Linked DNA regions of Macaca mulatta. The protein of the gene in region 3 interacts with the protein of the main gene of each other region in a biochemical or structural test. Links are inferred from orthologs where the notes say so. Each region holds a gene or a part of one and is shown on either strand. Other genes may lie near its edges. The genes, in order: UBE2W, UBE2J2, UBA1, CDC34, UBE2T, UBE2K and UBE2B.

Region 1 (3,500 bases), on a different chromosome or scaffold from region 3:
AGTCAGTATCCATTTAAATCTATGCTTTAAAACAATTACCTCTTTACTTATAGCATGATACAGTAACTGACTTCTATCTCTTCTCTTACATAACTAACAAAAGATTAAGCTGTGTTTGGTATATTGTTTAAAGTGGCAATGAAATAAGATTTTCCCCCAAATAGTACACTTCAGCACCTACAAGCTAAATTTTCAGTATCTGGGAAATATTTCAGGTATATGGTTCTATTTTACAGAATAGCTCATTTGCTAGCAATACTAGAAAGAGTTGGCATTACGTCTTATCACTTTAGCCAACGGATATTACAAGCCTCAAATTTTAAAAATGAAGTGCTTTGTTACAATAATTCTCTGAAGAATAAGTAATTATAGTAACTCATTTACTTATATTACCAAGCCAGAAACCTGGAAGTCATCCTACAGTCTTCCTTTCTCTAATCTCTGATTAATCATTTACCATAGTTAAACAGCTCTCAAAAAACATTCCTCTACCACCATTATCCCTTGTCTAAGTATTAAGTTATTAACTAAACTGACTGGGCATCAAATTATAATAAACAGACTTTGGGCCAATGTTTAGATATTTAACATCTGGTGATGTACTCTGCCATTCCAGTACTAAAAGGCTGCAAAGACAGCACGTCAATGCAAAATCAAAGTACTCCTTCCAACAGAGAACTTTTCTCTTCACCATGTGATTCTATCATCTGACCTAGGAGAGGCGCCTCCAGTTATTCCAAAATGCCAACTTCTCGAATGGCCTAGAGCAGTGGTCCCCAATCTTTTTGGCACAAGGGACCGGTTTGGTGGAAGACAATTTTTCCACGGATGGGGCTGGGGGTTGGATGATGGTTTTGGGATGAAAGTGTTCCATCTCAGATCATCAGGCATTAGATTCTCATAAGGAGCGTACTATCTAGATCCCTCGCATGTGCAGTTCACAATAAGGCTTGTACTCCTATGCGAATCTGATGTCACTACTGATCTGACAGGAGGCGGAGCTCAGGCAGTAATGGTGCTCACCTCCTGTGTGGCCTGACTCCTAACAGGCCAGGGACCAGTACCAGTCCACAGCATAGGGGTTGGGGACCCCTGGCCTAGAGGCCTGGTTAGATTTCTATTCCCTTTTCTGCTAGTATTTATGGATAAGAAACAAACAATTTTAGATGCAAAATGCAGTAAAGCCCTAATCCCAATATTAAGTGTAATGTTCATATCTTGATTATATTACGAACAAGGAAATAACAAATCCATCTACATACGTATAAATGATTTATATGTTTTTACTGAGTCAAACATCTCTGGCATTTAGCTATCTAAAAATACAAAAAAAAAAAATTTAAAGCAAGGCAATTACCTGAGGAGAGTCAAAAGGATATCGACTACTAAATTTAAATAGAAGTTGAAATTTTTCCCCTTCATATAAGGTACCTGGTGCACCTTCCATGTCTACAATCCACCTAGAATAGAAAAGGCAAATTAAAAACTTAAGATACTGGGGTAAGGAGGAGAAAAGAGGACACCAAGTACTTCCTGTACACTAAGCACTGGGACAAGAGTTGTTTATGTGTAACAGCACATGCCAGCCTCCCAATAACTCTCTCACTGTTAATTCTCATGACCTTCTCTGACATTCAGGGGTGAAACCACCAGATCAAGGTCAGACAGCTAGCAAAAGATAGGTCTAAAAAAGCCAACAAAACAAAAACCCAAGGCCAGGCGCGGTGGCTCACGCCTGTAATCCCAGAACTTTGGGAGGCTGAGGCAGGTGGATCACGAGGTCAGAGGTTTGAGACCAGCCTGACCAACATGGTGAAACTGGTCTCTACTAAAAATACAAAAATTAGCTGGGCGTGGTGGCGTGCACCTGTAATCCCAGCTACTCAGGAGACTGAGGCAGGAGAATCACTTGAACCCGGGAGGCAGAGGTTGCAGTGAGTCAAGATCATGCCACTGCACTCCAGCCTGGGCTACAGAGCAAGACTGTCTCAAAATAAACAAACAAATCTCAAACTAAGGTGTGCTGACACCCAAGCCTGTACTCTTCCTAATTGATTTACATTACCTTATTTTTTCAAAGTACCATTTCTACAATGCTGATATTAAGTATTCTATACATAACATCAAACTAATCAACTGTCTTTCTGATTATTACTGGTGGAAGCCATGGAGAAACCCGTATAGACAATGACTACAGAGAACCGTAGCTGTCAGATTTATTTTTCTCATCAACATTCTAGAAAAGATTAACAGGGTAAGGGGAGCTAAATTGACATCATTCCACTTACTTTGACGATTAAGCAAGGCTTTGTACTGCCTTTTCTTTATCTCTCACTATGTTTCAATTGTTTAATAAAGCCCATTTCTATGGCATCTATGCAAGCCTACTTTGTTTTAATATGTAACAATCATAAACATAAATGTGTTATTTATAGTGTATACACTATTTCTTGTTATTTTCTTTAAGATGGGGGAAAGAATAAGGGATAATGACAGCAAAGATAACAGGGCAGCATTAGAAGCAAAAGTGAATTGAAGTCATTAACAATGTGTTCCTAATTATAGCTCTGTCACTTATAATTATTGTACACCTAGGCAATTCTCTTGAACTTTTCAGGTATTAAACTTTCTTGTACTTAAAATACAAGAAAACAAAAGAAAGAAAGGAAACACAGTGTTGGGATTCTAGTCATTACCACGCATACGATGAACTTAGGATTATGTAAACTAATAAATGTACCTATTCTCTAAAAGAAATCAGCTACAGTATACAGACTCTTAAGAGCATGGCTATTCATTTTAAGAATGCATGCTGAGTACCATACATGGTAATAAAAGATACGACCACAGACCCAAGAGACAACATTTTATAGTGAAATTAAACAGTTATAACTGAAATTATACTGAAGTGGCAGTTACAGTTAATCTTAACTCGTTGTGTGAGCAAGTTATGTTCTCTCTCCAGTTTTAACTACCTCAATAATAAAACAGAAGATAATCACCTTATAGTGTTGTTGGAGATAAACGACCCTACATAAGTAAAAAACCTAGCACATTCCTGACTCAGAGTCAATACATGGTAAATTAAATGCAATGCAAAAGCTGCATATAAAACAAAAAACTATCTCTTTATATATTAGGTCCTTCTTAATCTTTGAAATTCCTTTCTTGATTTTCCACCCACATCTACTAGGCAGAGTAATATTCCCAGGAAAAATGGTGGTCTTTCGTTCTGTTTATATGGCAATTTGAGGACACACAACATAAATTTACATGTGACCTATGCAAACAAGCACAACTTTTAAAAATAAAGAGCTAACCAAGTATCTCATCAATCCTCGTAATATCTGCATGACATGCAGATACTACATGAGGTCAAAGACAATATAACTGTCAACATTGTGCATGGTACTTTCTTTTTTTTTTCTTGGTACAGAGTTTTGCTCTTGTTGCCCAGGCTGGAGTGCAATCGCGCAATCTCGGCTCACCGCAACCTCCAC
Region 2 (4,065 bases), on a different chromosome or scaffold from region 3:
TCTACTGGAAACTCCCCTAGGCCCTTCCGGGCCACCGCCTTCAGAGGCCTCCCTGATTTCCCTGCCAAATGCCTCCCACTCTGTCACACATCACTGGCCTCCATGTGACCCCACACACCACGCAGGGCCCTTTCGGGCCCCAGCAGAGGCAAGGGCGGGCTCCTCTGCCTAAGGAGTGCCTCCCCAGGAGGGCCCTCACCAGGAACGGGGTTCTAGTCCTGCCCGGGAAGGAAGTGCTCCACACAGTGGCATCCCCAGCTCCTGGCTCAAGAAGCCAATGGGCCAGGGATCTCCCCTCAGGCCAACACCTGGTGATGGACACAGCGATGACCCCAAGCAGCACTCTACACAGGCCGTCCTTTCAAACGCTCACCCTGAAGCTAACACTCTGCCATATACAAAATAATTCACTGGACAATTCAGGTACAGGTGTGTCTGGGCTTAGCTAAGTGGCCAGGCTGCGGGTTTAATGAAAGGTCATGGACAGCCACGCAAAAATAAAATAGATTCCATCAAGTCAGTCACAAGCAAGCTTCCCTCCCATACTTGCTTGGAGAGGCTTTTAAAATCATGTTCACGATTCAACTGCTGTTTCCCCAGACACCCTTCCTGAGCTTCACACAGAACAGCGTTCTCACGTCCCCCAAGGCGCCAGGGGGCGACTTCCCCCAATTCATCTCCTCCCAATATGACAGCAGGAAGGACAAGGAAAATAAAAATCCACAAAGGGGCTGGGCATGGTAGCTCACACCTGTAATCCCAGCACTTTGGGAGGCCGAGGTGGGCGGATCACCTGAGGTCGGGAGTTCGAGACCAGCCTGACCAACATGGTAAAACCCTGTCTCTACTAAAAATACAAAATTAGTCAGGTGTGCTGGCAAATGCCTATAATCCCAGCTACTCGGGTGGCTGAGACAGGAGTATCGCTTGAATCCAGGAGGTGGAGGTTGTGGTGAGCTGAGATCACGCCATTGCACTCCAGCCCGGGCAACAAGAGCGAAACTCCATCTCAAAAAAAAAAAAAAAAATTAGCCGGGTGTGGTGGTGGGCACCTGTAATCCCAGCTACTCTGGAGGCTGAGGTGGGAGAATTACTTGAACTCCGGAGCCGGACACTGCAGTGAACTGAGATCATGCCACTGCACTCTAGCCAGGGAAACAGAGACCCTGTCTCCAAAAAAAAAAAAAAAAAAATCCACAAAGGAAGCAAACTGTGAGAACAGAGTTTGAAGCATATGTGCCTCAGGTTCCCTTCAAACATCCCCACAGACAAGGGACACCAAGCACATCATCCTGCTGAGAGAAAGAGTTGGCGATTTTAAAACAAAAAGGTACAGAAAAAAAACGTTTACACGGAAACTGCATAAAAGCAGCGTGAATCACCGAGGGCAGCTGTGCCCAGGCGCTGAGACAGTGGCTGCCCAGCAGCTCTCACCCATCCCTCTTTGTCTGGACAGCTCTTTCCTGCTTAGGGATGTGGCAGGAAACCTTGGCCTGACCCATCTGCCAGGCGCGTGGCACGCCCAGGTCCAGGACTGCCACGGAAGTCTCTGCCTTCTCCACCAGACTGCTCCGAAGGCTGGATGGAAGCCCGGGCCGATGGAGGTGGGACACTCACCTGTAACGCACACATGCACCTGCCTGGCTCACCTGCCTGTCACTCACACATGTACCTGCCTAGAGCGGAGCTGCTAAGGAGGTCAGCGGTGCCAGGCCGAGCAGATGACGGACTGTGAGTTCCGGGCACCCAGACCCAACCACGCCCTAGGCTCAGGTGCTGGACTTTTGGATTAAGCGAGATACTCACTTCTTCGGAAGCCAGATTACACCGTCTGTTTCCCCTGGGGCAGGACGCGGGGCCACCGACCTGCCCCAGCCAAGCCTGCTGTACGCTCCTCGCTGCCCTCCCACCGGGCTGAGGCCCGACCTTTCAGCCGCTTCCTATCTGGGTCTGGCAAGAGGGTGGCAACCGGACTTGAGTTAAATACACACGCACTAAGTGGCAAGCATTGAAAAGGAGGCCAGGAGGTGACACCTAGCCAGGGGCTGAGAGGGTGCAGGGAATTGGCAGGTGTGGACGGCGAGGCCCGGCGCAGCTCAGGGACTTGTTCCGGGCTCGTGTCTTACTCCCGCCGGCCGGCGGTGGAGCCAGACTCCGGTCTCCCACTGTCACCGCCCGGGCTTCCCAGAAACGCTGGCCCCGAGCACCGTCCCGGGCACGCTCGTTTCTCTCGTGCCTCTCGGGGCAGTGTGGGGTCTAACAGTTCAGGGCGAGGCGGCGGCGGGCTCAACGGCAGCCCTCCCCCGACACAGACTCCCGGGATCCATTGACAAACCAGGATCGAGGCTGCCCGTCCTGGGGCAGCCGCAAGTGTCCCAACGGACGGGAGACCCGGCCTAGTGGTCAAGTCCCCGACCTGACCCTGACCCGGAGCTCCGGGAGCCCGCCGTAACCGACCTCGGGTTCCGCGCAGGCTCGGGCCAGGGCCCCGCGGGCGGCGGGCGCGAACGGAGAAGCGTCGCGCAGGGTCCCCCGCAGCCCCGGGCCGCCGCTGTGGCCGGCTCCGGCGGGGCGGTCGAGCGGGCCCGAGGACCCGGCGCAGGCCAGCGAGCGCGCTCACCTCTCCCTGTCGCTGCGCGTGGGCCGCCGCCGCGCTCAGGCTCGCCGTGGTCGAGGCCGGAGCAGGGTGCGGAAAAGCGGGGCCCGCGCCCGAAACAGCCACACCGCGCCGGGACTGGGCCCACCGAACCCGTCGCAGGGCCGCCGCCGCCTCAACCTCCAAGATGGCCGCTCGCGGGGCGGAACCAGCCTAGTTTCTGCTTCCGGTGCGCGTTCCCTGGGGGGCGGGGCGCCGCTCTAGGCAGCCTGGAGGACCGCGCCCACGACTCTCTGTCGCCGCCGGCGCCGGTCGGGGGAGGGCGGGGCGGTCGGCGCGTGCGCACTGGCGGGCGGCTGCGGGCACCGTTAGTGGGCGCGAAAGCCCCGGACCCCGAAGCCGCGCGCTTACGTCCCCACGTGCCACGGCCCAGGGCGGCAGGCCCGGCTGAGGGCGACCCCGGTGGAGAAAGGACCCCGACCCTCCCGCCTTGTCCTCCGCTCCCACACCCTGCCCGGCCCTTAGGGGAGGCGCGGCGCGGCGCGGCCCCGGCGTGGAGCGTCCCGGGCGCCTGGAGGCCTGGCTCGTTCAGGGACCCGAGAGTGACACGCGTGGGATCGCTTTGCAACCCACGTCCGCGCCCCAGCACCCTCTCCTGCGGGAGCCTTCCCAGCCCCGGGACGCCCCCGCCCCAGCACCCTCCCCCTGCAGGTGCCTGGCCCAGTGCCGGGACGCCCCGACCTCCCTCTGGACAGACTTTAGAAAGCGCGGGGCGCTGCGTCCTTTCCACCTCTCTCTGACCCCAGACACATTGGGAGGGAGCTGTAGGTGGCCGGGCGCTGGGGTGGGACGCTAAGGGCAGGCACACAACCCACCGCCTCCCCGAGAGGCAGCTAAGGACAGCGGGGAGCTGAGGGTGGTCCCCTGGTGGGGGATTGGGAGGTGGACCTCGCCACCTGGCTGCCTGTGGCCCTGTCCTTTGCCCCAACCCTGATGGCCTCTCAGAGACAACCACAGGTCAGCAAGGTGGCTGAACACTGAGGGTGGGTCCCGCTGTGGCTACGGGCAGAGGGCAGTCTGTGTCCATGCTCAGCCTGACTCTGCCCCTCCGAGACACCTTGGTGGGGGTCTGAGACGCTGCTGCAGCTCCTGGGGCAGAAGCCAGGAGGAATGTCCACACAGCCTCAGCCCGTGGGAATCCAGCCTGCCTCCATTCCTGACGTCACAGGCACCACCTTTGGAAAACAGCTCAGCATCCAGCCTCCTTCCTCTGCCTCCTCTCAGGCCTCTGCCGTTCCCAGGCAGGGCGGGCCGAGCTGGTTTTACAGCATGGAAAGTTATGTAAGGGAAGCCACACCGGCCGCAGATACAGGCACCAGCACGTCCACTCGCTTGCACGCTCACGGCTGTGGCCCGTGGCAGATGGAGGCCCGCCCTGCCTTGTTTGTCCTTCAGTAGTGTGTGATGAG
Region 3 (3,500 bases):
TAAAAACCAAAATTAGCCGGGCATGGCGGCGCATGCCTGTAATCCCAGCTACTCAGGAGGCTGAGGCAGGAGAATCGCTTGAACCCAGGAGGCAGAGGTTGCGGTGGGCCAGAGATCATGCCACTGCACTCCAGCCTGGGCAACAAGAGCAAAACTCTGTCTCAAGAAAAAAAAAAAAAAAAAGAAAAAGGAGGAAAGTGAGATGACAAAGCCCCACCTCCTACCCTACTCACCGTGACATCCCAGGGCCGGAAAAGAAACTGTCGATTCAGATTTGACTTCTCAATGGTGTCCATGTCTGTAACGATGATTTCTCCACCCTCCCTGCAGCCCAGCCCAATCATGGCAAAGTTCTTGAGCAGCTCACAGCCAATGGCCCCCGCACCCACCTAAGAGGCAACCAAGAAGACAGGCAGAGGCTGGTCAGGGTGATGCAGGTTAGTGTGAGGCTACCCATCACCCCTCACTCCCCTGAGAGATGGGGAGAGGGGCTAACACCACATCTTCAGGTTCCAGGACTCTAAGAAATGACATGCAGTCGTGTGAGGAAGGAGGAACCAGAGCGGGAAACGAGGGATGCACTGGGCTTCCCTTCAAGATAAGGAGAATGGCAAAGGGAATGCCCCACAGGTTGCGTTGAAATGCTGAAGGAAGCCCCAGGGCAGATGGTCAGAGGCCAAGATGAGGGGAGCAGGCATCCAAGGGGACCACTCACCAGGAAATACTTCTGCTTGCCCAGCTTCTCTTGCAGGTCTGAGCCAAACACAGCCACTTGCCCATCGTAACGGTTCTGGCGCTAAGGAATGCAAAGGGAGGAGGGTCAGAGAGAGGCCTCCCCAGAAATGCCCCCAATGATGCCCTCCCCACAGGTCCCACCCACATACTGGGAGGCACTTGTCCTCCGTGAGGGCCTCTTTGTCCTCAGGGAGACACTCAAGGGCATCAAAGTATAGCCACTGCATGATGGGCATGAACTTCCCGGAGCAGGCCTGGAGAGGGGAAGGGAGAGAGGGGGTGGTCAGTGGTTAACAGGGGCCTGACACAGAGAGCAAGTGATGGAGTCAGGGAGGCACCTGGCCCACCCCAATCCTGCCTCTCCCAACCCATGCTGACCTTCATGACTTCCTGGGCAGCCAGGCCCCCAATGAAGGCGTTTATGGGTGCCAGATCCCCAGCAGCCACATATGCCAACTTCCGGATGAGGTCCTCGTCCAGGTTCTCTTGCTGCACTGCTGGCAGGGCTCGAGCATTCACAGCCTGTGCTAAGGCCACCAGTTCTGTTGCATCCTCCTGGTAGGCCAGAAAGAACCAAAAGAGGATCTGTCAGGCCACAATGAGGGCAGGGAGTGTGGATAAGCAGAAGCATGGTGGGCCTTCAGTGCCAGGCATGTGTGCATTGGCTGGCTCGCCTACCCACCCACCTCATTGCGGGGCCGAGGTGGCCGGCCATGCTGAGCACAGAAGTGGTGCAGGGCCTGGAAGCCAATGTGCAGCTGGGCAGGGTGAGAAAACTTGGCGAAGTCCGTCATCACAAAGTCAGGTTCTGCCAGTGAGGCCACCAAGGATTTCTGTGGCGGGGGAAGGGGGAGGTCATCAGAACCAGAAGAGAGGAATGGAGAACTCGGGAATGCCTAGAACTACCCCACATAGCCACTGTTCCCACTGACACACTCACAAAGCTAATCTTCTTAGGTACTTTGACCTGACTGACGATGCCTCCACGGATATAGTCGGAGAAGTTGGAGGTGTCACAGATGCTAAAGGTATAAGGACCTATAGAGGGCAGGAAGAGAGCTATCAGTCTACCCATTCTCCCTAAAATCCACAACCCCTGCAAGATAAGGAACCTCCTGCCCCAACTCAGCTCAGACATCAGACGCCATCTCCCCTCTGCTCCAGGCTCCACATGGACATCAGAAAACATCTCTCCTGTGCCCCAGACCCAGCTCAGACCCTGTGAGACCCTATGTCCCTGGCTCCAAGTCTACATGGGAAGACCTTATGTGCTTCCCATCCAAATCAGCTCACACACAGTAGATCCTCTGACCTGCCCTGTTCAAACACCAGAGACCTTTTCCCCCTCAGCTCAGATACCAGGGACACATTCTCCCAGGAATAGCTCGAACACAGCACCTCTCCCTCATGCCCACCAGCTCTTATTGGACCCCACGGGATTCTGTCTGTAGTTCATCTTAAACAACAGGATGTGTCTCCCCAATCTGAACCAAGGGCCATGTCTCCTCCCTTCAACTCCCTAGCCAGAACCCAGGAACATATCTCCTAGCTTCCCTCTGCTTCCCCCATGGTCCCAACTCACCCAGGACTTTGATCTCCATGGGCTGATTTCCGTTGAGTTCAACCATGCCCTGTACTTCTGAAAAGGAGACAAAGTCCCCACTTTCAAACCCGTGTCGGGCCTCATCCAGGCAGGTAACCACACCAGGGTTGTCCTGGTTAAAGGAAGAGTGAGTCTCAGAAACAGGCCCAGGGTACCAAGAGCGGACAGGAAGGACTACCACAGCCCACCTGCCCGCCAGGAACCCTAGGGCTGGTCTCCTTACCTTGGTAACCATAGAAACCATAGCACTGAGCGGCTGCTCCCCATTGGAATCTGTGAGGATCATTTCCTTTCCAAAGTCACAGAAGAGCTGCCTGTAGAGGGAAGCAATAGGGCTGATGCCCGTGTCCCATGCACAAACAGGCCCCACAGGTCCCTCAAGATGTAGTGAAAACTTGCTGAGCAAACTCAGCCTATCACTGCTGGGATGTAAGATGGTACTTGTGCCACATGAGGAGAGATGAACACAAAGAACCCAAAATCTGGGTAGCTGAGGAGGGACGAGGGCAGGGAGAGCCTAGAGGTCTTGGCCTGGGCCTGGTAGGAGTTGGAGGAAAAGGGGACAGGGAGCGGGGTGGGCCGCCACTCACCCAAACAGGCCCCTTGTGTCTGCCACCACCAGCTTGATGCCACGGCTGTGACAGAACTCACCCACTCGCAGCTGGTCCTCCAGGGGGGTGTTGGTGAGCACCACCACCTGTGGAGAGATGGAGGCTCAGGCCCAGCATTGGGGTGAAGAGGAGAAAATGGTGGAGGGCTGATGTCAAGGACTCAGGCAGTCCTCAAGGCAGACACATCCAGGCTTTGCTGGGTCAGCCTCTTTCACAAACACACAGCACCTACTGTGCATCAGACTCTGTGGGGGTCAAAAATGAACTCCTAGACTATACCAGGAAAGGTGAAGAGGTAGCTGGGAGGACGGAGTTTGGAGAAGAGCTGACTCATTTATTTGACAAACACCCGCTGCTGTCTGCTTGCCATGCCCTGTGAGACACTGGAGTAAAACTCTGTCTCCAGCCAAAGTCTGAGCTCACTCCTACCACACCCACCTGCTTCCAATTCCCAAGACAATGCCTGCTCCGCATGATCTTTGGGATTTTGCTCTCTGCCTGAATGTCCATCCTTCCCCACCAGGGTGAGCTCCTATTCCTCCATCCGGATT
Region 4 (3,500 bases), on a different chromosome or scaffold from region 3:
CCGGGGCCCGGCAGGTGTCAGTGTTTGCTGAGTGAGCAGTCGTCTGTGCAAACCCTCCCCACACCGTGCCTGCCAAGGCCCTGGAGGGGCAGCCTGGTCTTGGGCCTCAGCTCCATCCGAGGGGAACCTGGAGCCCCTGCCAGTCCGTTCCGTCGGCTGGTGGGTGCCCCTGGCCCGGGTCCCGTGTGCCTGACCTGGGCTGCCACAGGCCTGGAGCCACTCGGGCAGCCAGTGCCTGCGTCCTCCAGCGGCTGGGCTGGGCCAGGCCGCGGCCACCTGGGCTGCGTAGGAGCTGGGATCAGCTCAGGTGACTCGGAAAAGGCTTGAGGCAGCCTGCTGGGGACTTGGCCCCAGGCCCATGAGAGTCCCTGCCTTGGCTGGGATAGGGTGTCCCTCACACACCCTCAGGCACACGCCCGAGCCTTACCCCCAGCACACCAGCACCGGGAGTGGAATGGCCTCGGGTCCCTCACACACACCCTCAGGCACACGCCCGAGCCTTACCCCCAGCACACCAGCACCGGGAGTGGAATGGCCTCGGGTCCCTCACACACACCCTCAGGCACATGCCCGAGCCTTACCCCCAGCACACCAGCACCGGGAGTGGAATGGCCTCGGGCACCCTGTGAGCCGGGGCAGGGCCTGGGGCTGAGCCGGGCTGAGCCACACGCCTTCTGCCCCTGCAGGCGCGCCTCAAGTTCCCCATCGACTACCCGTACTCTCCACCGGCCTTTCGGTTCCTCACCAAGATGTGGCACCCTAACATCTACGAGGTGAGCGCGGCCCCCACGGGCCTCACGTACTCATTGTCCGGGACCCGTGGCTCTGGGAGCCAGTGCTGACCTCTGACCTGTCCTGACCTGTCCTCTCCTTGTGCAGACGGGGGACGTGTGCATCTCCATCCTCCATCCCCCGGTGGACGACCCCCAGAGCGGGGAGCTGCCCTCAGAGAGGTGGAACCCCACCCAGAACGTCAGGTAGGCCCCACCCCCGTGTCCACCCAGAACGTCAGGTAGGCCGGCCCCATGTCCACCCAAAACGTCAGGTAGGCCCCACCCCTGTGTCCACCCAGAACGTCAGGTAGGCCGGCCCCACACTCCATGTCCACCCAGAACGTCAGGTAGGCCCCACCCCCGTGTCCACCCAGAACGTCAGGTAGGCCGGCCCCACACTCCGTGTCCACCCAGAATGTCAGGTAGGCCGGCCCCACGCCCCATGTCCACCCAGAACGTCAGGTAGGCCGGCCCCACGCTCCGTGTCCACCCAGAACGTCAGGTAGGCCGGCCCCACGCCCCATGTCCACCCAGAACGTCAGGTAGGCCGGCCCCACGCTCCGTGTCCACCCAGAACGTCAGGTAGGCCCCACACTCCGTGTCCACTCAGAACGTCAGGTAGGCCCCACCCCCGTGTCCACCCAGAACGTCAGGTAGGCCGGCCCCACCCCCGTGTCCACCCAGAACGTCAGGTAGGCCGGCCCCACGCCCCGTGTCCACCCAGAACGTCAGGTAGGCCGGCCCCACGCCCCGTGTCCACCCAGAACGTCAGGTAGGCCGGCCCCACGCTCCGCGTCCACCCAGAACGTCAGGTAGGCCCCACCCCCGTGTCCACCCAGAACGTCAGGTAGGCCGGCCCCACGCTCCGTGTCCACCCAGAACGTCAGGTAGGCCCCACGCTCCGTGTCCACCCAGAACGTCAGGTAGGCCGGCCCCATGCTCCGTGTCCACCCAGAACGTCAGGTAGGCCGGCCCCACCCCCGTGTCCACCCAGAACGTCAGGTAGGCCGGCCCCATGTCCACCCAAAACGTCAGGTAGGCCCCACGCCCCATGTCCACCCAGAACGTCAGGTAGGCCGGCCCCACGCCCCATGTCCACCCAGAACGTCAGGTAGGCCCCACCCCCGTGTCCACCCAGAACGTCAGGTAGGCCGGCCCCACGCCCCATGTCCACCCAGAACGTCAGCTAGGCCGGCCCCACGCCCCATGTCCACCCAGAACGTCAGGTAGGCCGGCCCCACGCCCCGTGTCCACCCAGAACGTCAGCTAGGCCGGCCCCACGCCCCGTGTCCACCCAGAACGTCAGCTAGGCCGGCCCCACGCCCCGTGTCCACCCAGAACGTCAGGTAGGCCGGCCCCACGCCCCGTGTCCACCCAGAACGTCAGCTAGGCCGGCCCCACGCCCCGTGTCCACCCAGAACGTCAGGTAGGCCGGCCCCACGCCCCGTGTCCACCCAGAACGTCAGGTAGGCCGGCCCCACGCCCCGTGTCCACCCAGAACGTCAGGTAGGCCGGCCCCACGCCCCGTGTCCACCCAGAACGTCAGGTAGGCCGGCCCCACGCCCCGTGTCCACCCAGAACGTCAGGTAGGCCGGCCCCACGCCCCGTGTCCACCCAGAACATGAGGTAGGCCGGCCCCACGCTCCGTGTCCACCCAGAACATGAGGTAGGCTGGGCTCCCCCGCGGGCCATGGCGCCGAGGCCTAGTTTGGGACCTGCCAGCCGGCGATCCTGGGCCTCCCTGTACCCGCACGGTGGCTGCTTTCATGGGACCTGCCGCACTGTGGTGTCTGTGCGGACTCCCACAAGACTCCAGGCCAGCCCCACTCTCTGGAGTGACTGAGACGTGTCCCGCCCACCTCGGTGCTGGGTCTTCTCCTTCCCCAGCTGTCTCTGGGTTGGTCACCACGTGCGACCTGTGCCACCCGGGCGTCGTCCCAGGTACAGGCCCTGGCCCGTGTTGCCCGTGTGTTCTGGAATGCAGCCCAGGCAGGACGTGTGGGCGTGAGAGCAGCCCCGGGTCCGACAGGGGTCTGCACCTTTCTGCCCTCCCTGGTCTTGGCGTGGGAGGGAGGAGGCTGATGCAGGTCCAGCCCCTGCTGTTCTGGGGGCCTGAGACACAAACAGGCCATGAGGCCAGATGAAAATCACCTGTTGGGTGGGTCCAGGTTTCCCCGTGACCCTCAAGGCCGGAGAAGAGCCGGAAGGCTGGGGTGCCCCGGGCCAGCCCGCTCCAACCCACTCTCCCCGCAGGACCATCCTCCTGAGTGTGATCTCCCTCCTCAACGAGCCCAATACCTTCTCGCCCGCCAATGTGGATGCCTCCGTGATGTACAGAAAGTGGAAAGAGAGCAAGGGGAAGGACCGGGAGTACACGGACATCATCCGGTGAGCGCGGGGGAGGTGCACGGGGCGGGGGAGACTCGGATCCGGCCTGCACCCCGGCCCTGATCCCTCGGCCGCCCAGCCCCACCGTCCTGGTGAGGGTGGCGGAGCTTCCTGGTGCCCGTTTACAGGGTACCAGTCACAGATGGAGGCCGGGCCTAGTGGCGGAGGGTCCAGCCAGGTTCAAGCCCAGCCTCTTGCCCCTTTTCCTCTTTTTTTTTTTTTTTTGAGACAGAGTTTTACTCGGTTGCCCAGGCTGGAGTGCAGTGGCGCAGTCTCGGCTCACTGCAGCCTCCACTTCCCGGGTTCAAGCAATTCTCCTGCTTCGTTCTCCGGAGTAGC
Region 5 (4,288 bases), on a different chromosome or scaffold from region 3:
TAACATAATTTTATTTTATGTGCCTATAGTCCCAGATACTCAGGAGGTAGGAGGAGAATTGCTTGAGCTCAGGAGTTCGAGCCTGCAGTGAGTTATGTTGGTACCAATTGTCTCCAAAAAAGAAAGAAATTTTAGTTCCTATCTCTTGGGAAAGTAAGGATTTAACCTGGAGTGGGTCAATTTTAGCTTATTTAAACAACTGGAACTAGATATTTTTTGCCTCCTAATTCTGAATACAAAAAGAATGCAGCCAAAAGAATCATCATTATTGATCCCTGAAAAATGTACTCCAGTTCAAAAATCCTTATTAGAAGACCAGTATGCCAGTAAAACATAAAGTTATATATATATAGGAGCAGCTATCATATACCAGGAACATGATACTGAAATGATGCATGAGGACTGTGAATAGGATTAGGCTTCTAGCTGAGTATTCCTACCTATTTGATTTAATACCAATTTTTCTTTTATCCTTTACTGAGAGTTCTATTTGGGTGCTTAAGGGCAATACAAATTATCAGCAAGAGGCTGAATTGGAATAAGAGGAGGTCCCACTGTGATATGTTACAAAGTAAATCTCATGAATAATTTTTTTTTTTTTTTTTTTTTTTGAGACAGTCTTGCTCTGTCACCCAGGCTGGAGTACAGTGGTGTAATCTTGGCTCACTGCAACCTCCGTCTCCCAGGTTCAAGCGATTTTCCTGCCTCAGCCTCCTGAGTAGTTGGGATTACAGGCACCTGCCACTATACCCAGCTACTTTTTGTATTTTTAGTAGAGATGGGGTTAGCCAAGCTGGTCTCGAACTCCTGACCTTAAGTGATCTGCCCGCCTTGGCCTTCCAAAGTGCTGGGATTACAAGCGTGAGCCATCACGTCTGGCCAAAAATTTTTAATTGCAATAAATGATGAGACATGACAAGTTCTATCATGGCCATAAATAAATGTATGTAGCAAGGAAAATGAGGTTACATAATGTATACATTATTATACCTTGATTTTCCTTATGTACATTGTTATTCATAGTTCACAGATTTGACATAAGGTTTAATTAGTATTTATAATGTATTTAAGAATACCCTACTAAAGCATATGGTGGGTAGACACAGTATTATTAAACATAATAATTTTTACATTTATATGTCACTTTTCATTTAAGGTTTTCAATTCAATAACTAATTGTTTCCTTAATGTATGATTTCCACTTCATTTCAGGGGGAATTTAGGAACAGGCAAATTTTCACATGACAGAATATAATAAAGTTTCCCTTTACAATACCCTGATCATTTTGCAACATTTTTAAATGAAAAATTTTAAACATACAGAAATGTTTAAAGAATCTAATATTTGCATATGTACTCCTTCATTATGGGTAACACATTTAATTATATTTTGTTCAGGGCTAGAGCACTGGAGGTTATAATTATTAAATCAATCGGACTGGCCGGATGTGGTGGCTCATGCCTGTAATACTAACACTTTGGGAGACTGAGGTGGGTGGATCACTTGAGCCCAGGAGCTCAAGACTAGCCTGGGCAACATGGCAAAACCCTGTCTCTACAAAAAATACAAAAGTTAGCCAGGCATAGTGACGCAGGCCTGTAGTCCCAGCTACTTGCGGAGCTGAGGTGGGAGGATTGCTTGAGCCTGGGAGGTTGAGGCTACACTGATCCATGACCATGCCATAGGTGACAGAGTGAGACCCTGTCTCAAACAAAACAAAACAAAACAATCAGACAGATATACGTTTTTTAACCTAGTCTTGGGGAACATAAGAATGTCCTATTTGCTACCTTAGGAATTTAGTATGATTTAGTATGCTTGATAGTATCTTTCTCTAGCTTTGAAAAAAAAAATCATGGGCCAGGTACAGTGGCTCAGGGCTGTAATCCCAACACTTTGGGAAGCTGAGGCAGGAGATCGCTTGTGTCTAGGAGTTCCAGACAAGCCTGGGCAACATGGTGAGACCTTGTCTCTATAAAAAAATTAAAAAAATAGCGGGTGTGGTGGTGGGCACCTGTAGTCCTAGCTACTTGGGAGGCTGAGGTGGGAGAATCACTTGAGCCCAGGAGGTTGAGTCTGCAGTGAGCCGTGATCGTGCCACTGCACTCAGCCTGGGTGACAGAGTGAGACTCTGTGTCAAAAGAAAAGAAATAAAAATCACGGAAGACATCTATTCTGTCTTGTAAAAATTTAAGATATATGAAAAGAGTAGAGGAGGAGGAGGAGGGAGAAGGAAGAGAAATTATTTATTGGGATGCAATATGTGCCAAAGATAGTATTAGGCATCCTTGCATGTATTATTTTATCTGATCCACACGACTACCCTGTGAGATATTATTCCCATTTTTCACATAAGAAAACTGGCTCAGAGAAGTCAAGTAATTTGTCTACGGCTGTGAATTCAATTTAAATTCACAGCTTAAACTCTTCTCACTACATCTGAATGCATCATTTTCAAGATCTTTTCTGGGCCTGGAGTAAGTTGACAGTATTTATGTAAAACATGTAATACTGCTCCTCCTCCCCACGCACATTCACATTTACTGTGATTAATACACATGTTAATAAAACCCTAGACTTAGAACTAGGATATAGAATCCAGTCGTTTAGGTACTTAATGTTTAGTTCTCCCCTCCAGAAAATAGGAATAATTACCGCGTCTCTTCCACTCCAAAGAATTGATGTGATAATTAGGGAGCTAAGATTAGTTACCAGTCATAACAAGAATAAACTACGACTCCCAAAATGCCCAGAGGAAGAGGTTGACGCCAGTCCAGGAGACAGTTCCAGCTTTAGGGCAAAGGTGACCTCACTGGGTCCCGTGGCGAAAGAGCCGTCTGTCCTCGACTTTTTTCTGATGCATCCAGGGATTTGTAGTTCCCTTACGGCCACCAAGTGCACTTAGGGCAGGCCTCTTACTACGAGTCCCGTGATGATCCGAGGCCGGGCAGCGGCTGCGTATTGAAGCCGAGGGAACGTGCGGGCGGTGCTAGTGGCGAGAGGAGTAAAGATGGCGGCGCGAGGGTCTCCGCCCTCTGCTCCCGGCTGAAGCGCTCTGAGGGAGGCGGCAGCGGCAACCCGAGCCCCAACAGTAATTTAGTGTTGGTAGTTTTGGCAGCAGCTGCCGAGGCCGGAGCAATGGCGGAGCTGGAGCACCTAGGAGGGAAGCGGGCAGAGTCGGCGCGAATGCGGCGGGCAGAGCAGCTTCGGCGCTGGCGGGGCTCGCTGACAGAGCAGGAGCCCGCGGAGCGACGAGGCGCGGGGCGGCAGCCGCTGACCAGGCGCGGGAGCCCCAGGGTCCGCTTCGAGGACGGTGCTGTCTTCCTGGCCGCCTGCTCTAGCGGGGACACCGACGAGGTGAGAAAGCTTCTGGCAAGAGGTGCTGATATCAACACAGTCAACGTGGACGGCTTGACAGCCCTGCACCAGGTAACTCCTTCACGGTCTTAGAGGCGTCCAGTCTCCTACAGATGTGTCTTTGACCCTGCGAGCCGCCCCATGGGGAGTATCAGTGTTGCCGCCGAGTCCTTCTGCATGGACACTGCCTTTTTGGGCTAATCGGTTTCATTCTTGGCCAGCTTCCTCCACTAATCAAGTCTTTTTCTGACCCCAGGATCTCTCTACCTGAAGGAATAGTGTCACCCCGCTGCTTGGTCAGTGTTTGTGTTTCCCTCCACCTACTTGTGTTGTCATGGTTACTGGTGATTTTTGTCCCTGGTCGTATCCCTATAGATTAGTTATCTTCACTTATGTCTGGTTGGCGTGCCTGCATGCCGTGTCACAGTGTCATTTGTCTGATGCCCTTTCAGAAAATTCAGTTGTTGTGTGTCTCCATTATAGAATATCTTAGATCACTTAAAGAGTAGAGCCCTATACTGGGTAAAGACAAGCAGGTCTGAAACCACACCTCTTGTTTTGTTGATTTGTAGTACTTAAAAACAGTTTGTGTCGCCTCTAGGCTATAGCTCCTAGAACACCCCGGACCTCGTTGTTATAGGTATCTTAACTTTCTTCTCAGCAATGCTACCTCCCCGAGAGCTTCCTGTGGAGAACTAAGTTACTGAATTACTTCTGTCTGTTTGATACTTATGGAATACCTTTTCTATTTTTCTATTTTTTTTTTTTTCTAAAGCGCTCTATAGAAATCCCATGCCCTATACGTAGCTATACTATATGGATTGTGGATAATCTGTGCTTGGTAACGACACCTTATAGTTCATCACCTAATGCAGCAATATTCTCTATCTACTGACTGCCATGACTAACTACACCCTCTCGCCTCAAATC
Region 6 (4,200 bases), on a different chromosome or scaffold from region 3:
AAATCACATTCGTATGACACAAAATTAAAAAAATATCTATACCCCATGCCCCAGAGACCCAATTTTTCTACACAGAAAGCAATCAATTTTACCAATTTCTTGTGAAACCTTTTGCCTATAAAGACAAATACACATATTCCCCTCTTTTTAACACAAATGGTGGCTTCTTCCACACTATTCTGCATCTTGCTTTTCACATTTATCTTGTTGGCTGTATTTTAATTAACACACTCTAAGAATGGTCACTTATAATCTCTCATAACCAGAATCCAGTAAGCGTCAGCTATCTTTACAAAGGCACTTACAAGGCCACCCCAAAAAGTCCTTAAATCAACCAGTGTTCTTAGTAAACGCAAGCATACAAGCACATGAAATAAATTTTGGTAAAGTGCAGATTTACCAAAAAAGTGACATGATGAAATATTTATTTGATCAGCCATTCAAAAGACTGGATTTACACCCTTAAAAAGGAAACACACGGACTATACTACAAGTCTTCAATGAGTTGAAAATAATCCACTTATAGAACTGGGGCTACTAAAATATCAAAAAATACTGGCGAAAATAAGCTATTTATTGGTTATATTTATTGCAAGATTAAATGATGTGACTCTTTCCTAAATGTTCTTTGCAACTGATTTTCCCAAAAGAAGTTTCCTTCCATATTTATACAGGTACTGTTCTAAACAACACAAAACAAACAAAAAACCTGTCTGCATTTCCTGTTTTCTTCTTCTGAAACACTTTTGATGCTTATCTGAAGTAAGGCTTCCTCATCCCTTATGTATAAAGAGCAGTGTTTTTTTGTTTGTTTGTTTGTTTGTTTTAACAATATGCATTACTAGAGAGCAATACAAGTATTTCTGGTAATCTTCAACTTAAGTACTACGAATCTCACAGTGAAAAGTGAGCTCATAAAAAGCAAAGAGACCATATTAATTACCAAAGCAGTAACTTACCACTTGTAACAGAAAATAAAGCACTAAAAGTCTATTAAGTTTCAGGCTTGTACAACCTTATTAAACAAGAAATGTTTTAGGTTGTTGGCAACAATATTAGCTGCTATCTTTCATTAGGAGTATGTATGTCAGCTAACCTGGAATACATTTTCATATTAAATAAGTTAAAATTGCTGTTTCACTGTATCAGTACAGACACTTATTGACTCTATTTCTGCGCTGTACCACAAAATACAAAGTCATCCTTCCATTCAGAGTTTTGGCATATGAACACAGAGGTCAGAGTTCATACACATGCTCTGTAAAACCGATCATGACTTACATACTACTACTTTCAATAAGTCTGTTGTCATTTTTGAATTTTAAATAATTTTTCTCCATGTATACTCATCACATATTTAGAATGCTGAATTTCACAAATCATTATTGACACTATCAAAGTACTAACCGTAAAAGAAAAACAAAAATAGCAATGATATATTCAATAATGGTATGTGAATCTTGAAAATAATCATTTTCTGTATTACTTTTTGTTTAATTCATGTGGGGAAGACAATCTGGCATTCTTGTTCATCTTGGTACGACACACTGTACTAATACTTGCATAATTTTGAGTCAAATTACTAGAGCATTGTGAATATCTTACATAAACGTAGTACTAATGTATATAAATTCTGCAGAACTTAAGAGCAATGGCAGGCAATTTTTTTGAAAATCTGTTAAGTCGTGATAAATCTACTCAATAAGGAGATGAAATAATGTATTAATCTGGTGAAATCTCACATTTTTAATAGGTCTACTTTTCAAAAGTAAGAATCAAGTTACCTATGAGGGACATCATAATGAAGTTTCGTGGCACAACACGAGTCACAGAGGCACTGTCTTAGGACAGTCTGATCGGTAACTTGTAAACAATATTTTGAAATAAACTACTCATACAACCCATTATTTTTTTCCTAACTAAAAATATTTACATGTCTTTAATACACCAAACACCTCGCCTTTGCCCACTCAAAAAAGATTGTGATGTCAATAAAAATGAGGCCTACGAATTTGGGGGTTAAGTGGAAGACATAATTATCTCGTTTGGAATAACTTGCTAACTCAGGTGAAAATTCCCTTACCCCCGCCACCAAATAAGACAGTATTCTATTATGTCTCCCTTTGACTCCTAACACCCAACTAAGAAGGACTAACTCTGAATGTCCTTCCTTTCTAATCAATACCTTTGGACTCACCGCTCCTCCCCTACGAAAAGAACAGTGAAGGCCTGACAAGCAATAACCCCAAATACCCTCAAAAGTGTGGGCCTTTGAGCAGCACTGCTCTTCGTATCCAGTTACCACCTTTCCCCTTCCCCCAACCCACTTCCCGGGTTTTCTCAGGCTCGGCCTGCTCCCTCCCCACCCCACAGCCACATTTCCAGCTGTGGCCACCGCCTCGGGTTCTCTCGTGAGCTTCCATCCCTCCGAGGAGCTCCCCCCTGTCCATCAGCTCCCCAAACCGTGTTCCACCCCAGACCACCCGCCCGCGAGACCGTTCATCCTAGCGCTCTGGGAGGGGAGGGGAAGGCGGCGGAAGGAGGAGGGGAACACTGCTGCTTCCTCACAGGCAGAAGGGCGGCCGCAAGGAGGGCCACCCAGGGACTACCGAGGATATCGGGGTCGCAGCTGGGAGGACCCTCCCGCTCCAGGCAGAGATGGGGGATATCCGGGAGTTCATTTCTGACCTCCTCGCTCTTCAGCACCTCCTTGAACTCCCGCTTGATTCGCTGCACCGCGATGTTGGCCATGTCTCCGCCCGCAGCTGATTCGTACCCGCCTCCTCCGCCACCGCTACGACCACCGCCACCGCCGCCACCTCTTCCTCCACCGCCTCCTCCCCCGGCGATTCAGACCCGAGCACACGAACACTGCCACTACCACCCCGGCCGCCGCGCTCGCCTCAGTGTGGAATCACCTCCGCGCCCGGCCACCAAAATGGCGCCGGGTCGGCGCATGCGCACGACGCTGACCCGGCCGGGCGGCGCAGCCGCTCCCGTTGTAGCCCCCATACGCCCGAGCCACGAGCTCGCGTCTCGGCTGGGGCTGCGGCCGCGTGGCTCCGCCCTGCCGGCGTCTGGGGCCGCTAGGGCGCGGCTTCCAAGGTGGCCGGCCGTAGCCTGCCCGCCCGGTCCTACCCGGCGCCTCCGCTCCTGTTTAAACCCAGGTGCTGTGGTCGGGGCTTCCAGCGCTGGCCTCTGACCGAAGGTTCGCGCGCAGCCGAACGGGTTCCCGAAGCCGCACTCGGCTGGAACGCCGCCCTGACTCAGCTAGACCCGGAACCCGGAGGCTGAACGCCGTGTCTAGCGCAGGAAAACGCTCTCGCGGATCTCGGTCCGGCCCATTTTCAGTTGGTGTAGCCCCAGAAAATCCACTGCAGTCGTTTTTGTTCTGCAACATTTATAGTACCACGATTATTCCCATCATCTCAGGTAGCACAGATTATCGAATTAAGGCTGGTTATTGTTGGATCAGATTGGGTTTGAGACAGGTACTCGGTGGAGAGGCCTGAGGGTGGGTTTACAAGTCAGATGTTGATCTTTGACCTATTTAATACCGAGCTTGACACACACACACTCTCTGTCACACACACACACCACACACACACACACTCCTGTGCCCATCCCTAGAGTGTGGAGCGGGCCTAAGACTGCGTTTCTAACAAGTCTCCCAGTTGCTGCTGCTGTTGGTGCTGGTTCGGGGACCACACTATGAGAACCACTGAACTGAAGCGTGTGAAAATTCATATATATTAAATTGAAAACTGGAGAAATAGAAATTATAGTGCCCTTCAGGGGACTGGGATGGGGGAGGGGGAGCCTTATTTCTGTAAACCTAGGCCTACAAAGGTGCTTGGTGATAGTAGGCACTCTATAAATATTGAATGTGTAAATGAGTACAGATAAGAGTAAAACGCTTTTGCTGGCGCGGCGGATCACTTGCAGTCAGGAGTCCGAGACCAGCCTGGCCAACATAGTGAAACCCCGTCTCTACTAAAAATACAAAAATCAGACAGGTGTGGTGGCAGGCGCCTGTAATCCCGGCTATTCTGGAGGCTGAGGCAGGAAAATCGCTTGAACCTGGGGGGCGCAGGTTGCAGTGAGCGAGATCGCGCTACTGCACTACATACAGCCTGGGCCACAGAGCAAGTTTATGTCTCAAACAATACAAAACAAAAAGTATAAAATATTTTAAGTAGA
Region 7 (2,550 bases), on a different chromosome or scaffold from region 3:
CTTTTTTCTTTTTTTTCTGCAGAATCCTTAAAACCTGTGGCACTTAAAATTTGTTAGCCTTTCTACTGAGAGGTAAATTATACACAACAATGATGAAAAAGATTAACAGACCAGTTGTCTATTATGAATCATTCCAGCTTTGTTCAACAATGGCCGAAACTCTTTTCTCATATTCTCGTTTGTTTTCCTGATAAAGCTGTGCTGCCTGGCTATTGGCTGGACTGTTAGGATTCGGTTCATCCAGCAGAGACTAGGAGGAAAGAAAAGAAAAAACAGATTTGCTTAGTTATTCTTTATACTAACGGGTCAGATATGGAATATATTACAGAGAAGTTATACAAAACAACAAATTACTTCAGAGATTAACATGTCATATAATTTTGGGTCTAAATATTTTAGAAATGATTTGATAAATACTATGAGGTTTCCTGCTGCTAAGGAACTTAAGCTTCTGAAATAATGTTCTCAATTGCCTTAAGACCTACAGTTTCGGCTGGGTACAGTGGCTTGCGCCTGTTATCCTAACACTTTGGGAGGCCGAGGCAGGAGGATCCCTTGAGCCCAGCAGTTCAAGATCAGCCTGGGCAACATAGGGAAACTCTGTTTCTATTTAAAACGAAAAAGAGGTCAGGTGTGGTGGCTCATGCCTGTAATCCCAGCACTATAGGAGGCCGAGGCGGGCAGATCACCTGAGGTAGGGAGTTCGAGACCAGCCTGGCCAACATGAAGAAAACCCCATAATTTCTAAAAATACAAAATTAGCCAGGTGTGGTGGTGTATGCCTGTAATCCCAGCTACTCAGGAGGCTGAGGCAGGAGAATTGCTTGAACCTGGGAGACAGAGATAGCGGTGAGCCGAGACTGCGCCATTGCACTCCAGCCTGGGCAACAAGGGTGAAATTCCGTCTCAAAAAAAGAAAAAAAGAAAAAAACACCTATAATTTCAAAGAAATCAGAAAAGAATATTCTTAAGCATATTGAGATTTTCTCATTAAACCAAGGAAATGAACAGCTTAATTTGGTTAAGCTATAGTATCAATAAATCTGTCAGTATCCAACATTTTCCAAGGTTAAACTCTACTACTGCAGTTACTTTGCAAATGTCTGACAGTAAAAGTTGGGGGATAAGTCTTATCTCCTTTAATCAACAAAACATATATATTTAGCAGGAAGAGAATGAGATAGGAAGGTTGAAAAACAATGCTTGTAAGATGACCAGAATTGGCCTGGCACAGTAGCTCATGCCTGTAATCCCAACACTTTGGGAGGCCGACGTGGGCGGATCATGAGGTTGGATAGAGACCATCCTGGCTAACACTGTGAAACGCCATCTCTACTAAAAATACAAAAAACTTAGTTGGGCGTGGTGGCATATGCCTGTAGTCCCAGCTACTCAGGAGGCTGAGGCAGGAGAATCACTTGAACCTGGGAGGCAGAGGTTGCAGTGAGCCAAGATTGAGCCATTGCACTCCAGCCTGGGCAACACAGCAAGACTCTGTCTCAAAAAAAAAAAAAAAAAAAAAAAAAGGCCAGAATTAAAGAAGTGTGACAGAAAAAACTTTAAAAAGAACATCACAAACCAACATATTATTTCTGCTCCTCTCAAATCCACAAAACCAAAACACCCCTCACTCCACCCCTCCTAAATTTTCATTCAAAGATCTATTCTGAAATATTCTGCCAGACTGCTTCGGCAAATGGTTACATTAATTTTCCTTTATTTTATTTTATTTATTTATTTATTTATTTATTTATTTATTTATTTATTTATTTATTTTTTTGAGACGGAGTCTCGCTCTGCCGCCCAGGCTGGAGTGCAGTGGCCAGATCTTGGCTCACTGCAAGCTCTGCCTCCCGGGTTCACGCCATTCTCCTGCCTCAGCCTCCTGAGTAGCTGGGACTACAGGCGCCCGCCACCTCGCCCGGCTAGTTTTTTGTATTTTTTAGTAGAGATGGGGTTTCACCGTGTCAGCCAGGATGGTCTCGATCTCCTGACCTCGTGATCCGCCCGTCTCGGCCTCCCAACGTGCTGGGATTACAGGCTTGAGCCACCGCGCCCGGCCAATTTTCCTTTTTTTTAAAACAGAATTTCTTGGATGGGGTAACACATTCAATGCTTATCTGCGCTTGGCAGTTTCTTTAGGTTCCTATGGTTTTTCCAAGCCATTTTTTTCTTTTCCACAACCGTTGGCTATGCTTCATGGACACAAATTAGGTTTGACCTGTAAGAACATGTAACTTACACAATCAGGAAAGGGACTGCAGACTGGATCCCATGTAGGCATTACTGAAAGAGAAGTTAGCTGAAAAGCATGGATTCTTGCCCAAGCTCTGCCATTGGTTACCTGTGTGCTAAGCAGGTTACAGTGCTCCTAAAGGAGCTGACTGTATCCTACAGAATACTGACAAACTATAATACATCTTAACACATACTTACCTGAATTGATGTTAAGATAGAAGATACATCGTATGTTGGACTCCATCGATTCTGAAGGATATCTAAACATATGCTACCATCAGCATACACTGCAAAGACAACACTAAAATTGGT

Evidence for each region.
Region 1: of the proteins of UBA1 (region 3) and UBE2W, one has a biochemical effect on the other in vitro, tested with the Homo sapiens proteins (5 studies listed by BioGRID, with this or other methods). The link is inferred for Macaca mulatta from reciprocal best matches to the Homo sapiens genes UBA1 and UBE2W.
Region 2: of the proteins of UBA1 (region 3) and UBE2J2, one has a biochemical effect on the other in vitro, tested with the Homo sapiens proteins (2 studies listed by BioGRID). The link is inferred for Macaca mulatta from reciprocal best matches to the Homo sapiens genes UBA1 and UBE2J2.
Region 4: of the proteins of UBA1 (region 3) and CDC34, one has a biochemical effect on the other in vitro, tested with the Homo sapiens proteins (7 studies listed by BioGRID, with this or other methods). The link is inferred for Macaca mulatta from reciprocal best matches to the Homo sapiens genes UBA1 and CDC34.
Region 5: of the proteins of UBA1 (region 3) and UBE2T, one has a biochemical effect on the other in vitro, tested with the Homo sapiens proteins (4 studies listed by BioGRID, with this or other methods). The link is inferred for Macaca mulatta from reciprocal best matches to the Homo sapiens genes UBA1 and UBE2T.
Region 6: of the proteins of UBA1 (region 3) and UBE2K, one has a biochemical effect on the other in vitro, tested with the Homo sapiens proteins (9 studies listed by BioGRID, with this or other methods). The link is inferred for Macaca mulatta from reciprocal best matches to the Homo sapiens genes UBA1 and UBE2K.
Region 7: of the proteins of UBA1 (region 3) and UBE2B, one has a biochemical effect on the other in vitro, tested with the Homo sapiens proteins (10 studies listed by BioGRID, with this or other methods). The link is inferred for Macaca mulatta from reciprocal best matches to the Homo sapiens genes UBA1 and UBE2B.

The regions. Positions count from the first base shown.
Region 1 is NC_133413.1:84,408,204-84,411,703, forward strand, and holds part of UBE2W (ubiquitin-conjugating enzyme E2 W), read right to left. Parts: intron 1,461-3,500; coding exon 1,358-1,460; intron 1-1,357. UniProt on the Homo sapiens protein: Accepts ubiquitin from the E1 complex and catalyzes its covalent attachment to other proteins.
Region 2 is NC_133406.1:239,412,423-239,416,487, reverse strand, and holds the start of UBE2J2 (ubiquitin-conjugating enzyme E2 J2), read right to left. Parts: upstream 2,801-4,065; 5' UTR 2,621-2,800; intron 1,951-2,620; exon of another isoform or gene 1,807-1,950; intron 1-1,806. UniProt on the Homo sapiens protein: Catalyzes the covalent attachment of ubiquitin to other proteins. Seems to function in the selective degradation of misfolded membrane proteins from the endoplasmic reticulum (ERAD).
Region 3 is NC_133426.1:47,232,065-47,235,564, reverse strand, and holds part of UBA1 (ubiquitin-like modifier-activating enzyme 1), read right to left. Parts: intron 3,036-3,500; coding exon 2,929-3,035; coding exon of another isoform or gene 2,841-2,928; intron 2,674-2,840; coding exon of another isoform or gene 2,653-2,673; coding exon 2,562-2,652; intron 2,451-2,561; coding exon 2,318-2,450; intron 1,774-2,317; coding exon 1,676-1,773; intron 1,569-1,675; coding exon 1,422-1,568; intron 1,291-1,421; coding exon 1,114-1,290; intron 990-1,113; coding exon 885-989; intron 797-884; coding exon 716-796; intron 390-715; coding exon 234-389; intron 1-233. UniProt on the Homo sapiens protein: Catalyzes the first step in ubiquitin conjugation to mark cellular proteins for degradation through the ubiquitin-proteasome system.
Region 4 is NC_133424.1:1,173,841-1,177,340, forward strand, and holds part of CDC34 (ubiquitin-conjugating enzyme E2 R1), read left to right. Parts: intron 1-686; coding exon 687-773; intron 774-879; coding exon 880-977; intron 978-3,026; coding exon 3,027-3,161; intron 3,162-3,500. UniProt on the Homo sapiens protein: E2 ubiquitin-conjugating enzyme that accepts ubiquitin from an E1 ubiquitin-activating protein, and catalyzes its covalent attachment to other proteins by an E3 ubiquitin-protein ligase complex. In vitro catalyzes 'Lys-48'-linked polyubiquitination.
Region 5 is NC_133406.1:60,008,557-60,012,844, forward strand, and holds the start of UBE2T (ubiquitin-conjugating enzyme E2 T), read right to left. Parts: upstream 2,801-4,288; 5' UTR 2,657-2,800; intron 1-2,656. Other genes in the region: PPP1R12B (protein phosphatase 1 regulatory subunit 12B), read left to right, coding at 3,140-3,430. UniProt on the Homo sapiens protein: Accepts ubiquitin from the E1 complex and catalyzes its covalent attachment to other proteins. Catalyzes monoubiquitination. Involved in mitomycin-C (MMC)-induced DNA repair.
Region 6 is NC_133410.1:38,909,935-38,914,134, reverse strand, and holds the start of UBE2K (ubiquitin-conjugating enzyme E2 K), read right to left. Parts: upstream 2,801-4,200; 5' UTR 2,752-2,800; coding exon 2,689-2,751; intron 1-2,688. UniProt on the Homo sapiens protein: Accepts ubiquitin from the E1 complex and catalyzes its covalent attachment to other proteins. In vitro, in the presence or in the absence of BRCA1-BARD1 E3 ubiquitin-protein ligase complex, catalyzes the synthesis of 'Lys-48'-linked polyubiquitin chains.
Region 7 is NC_133411.1:143,308,527-143,311,076, reverse strand, and holds part of UBE2B (ubiquitin-conjugating enzyme E2 B), read right to left. Parts: intron 2,526-2,550; coding exon 2,437-2,525; intron 251-2,436; coding exon 122-250; 3' UTR 1-121. UniProt on the Homo sapiens protein: E2 ubiquitin-conjugating enzyme that accepts ubiquitin from the ubiquitin-activating enzyme E1 and transfers it to a E3 ubiquitin-protein ligase. In vitro catalyzes 'Lys-11'-, as well as 'Lys-48'- and 'Lys-63'-linked polyubiquitination.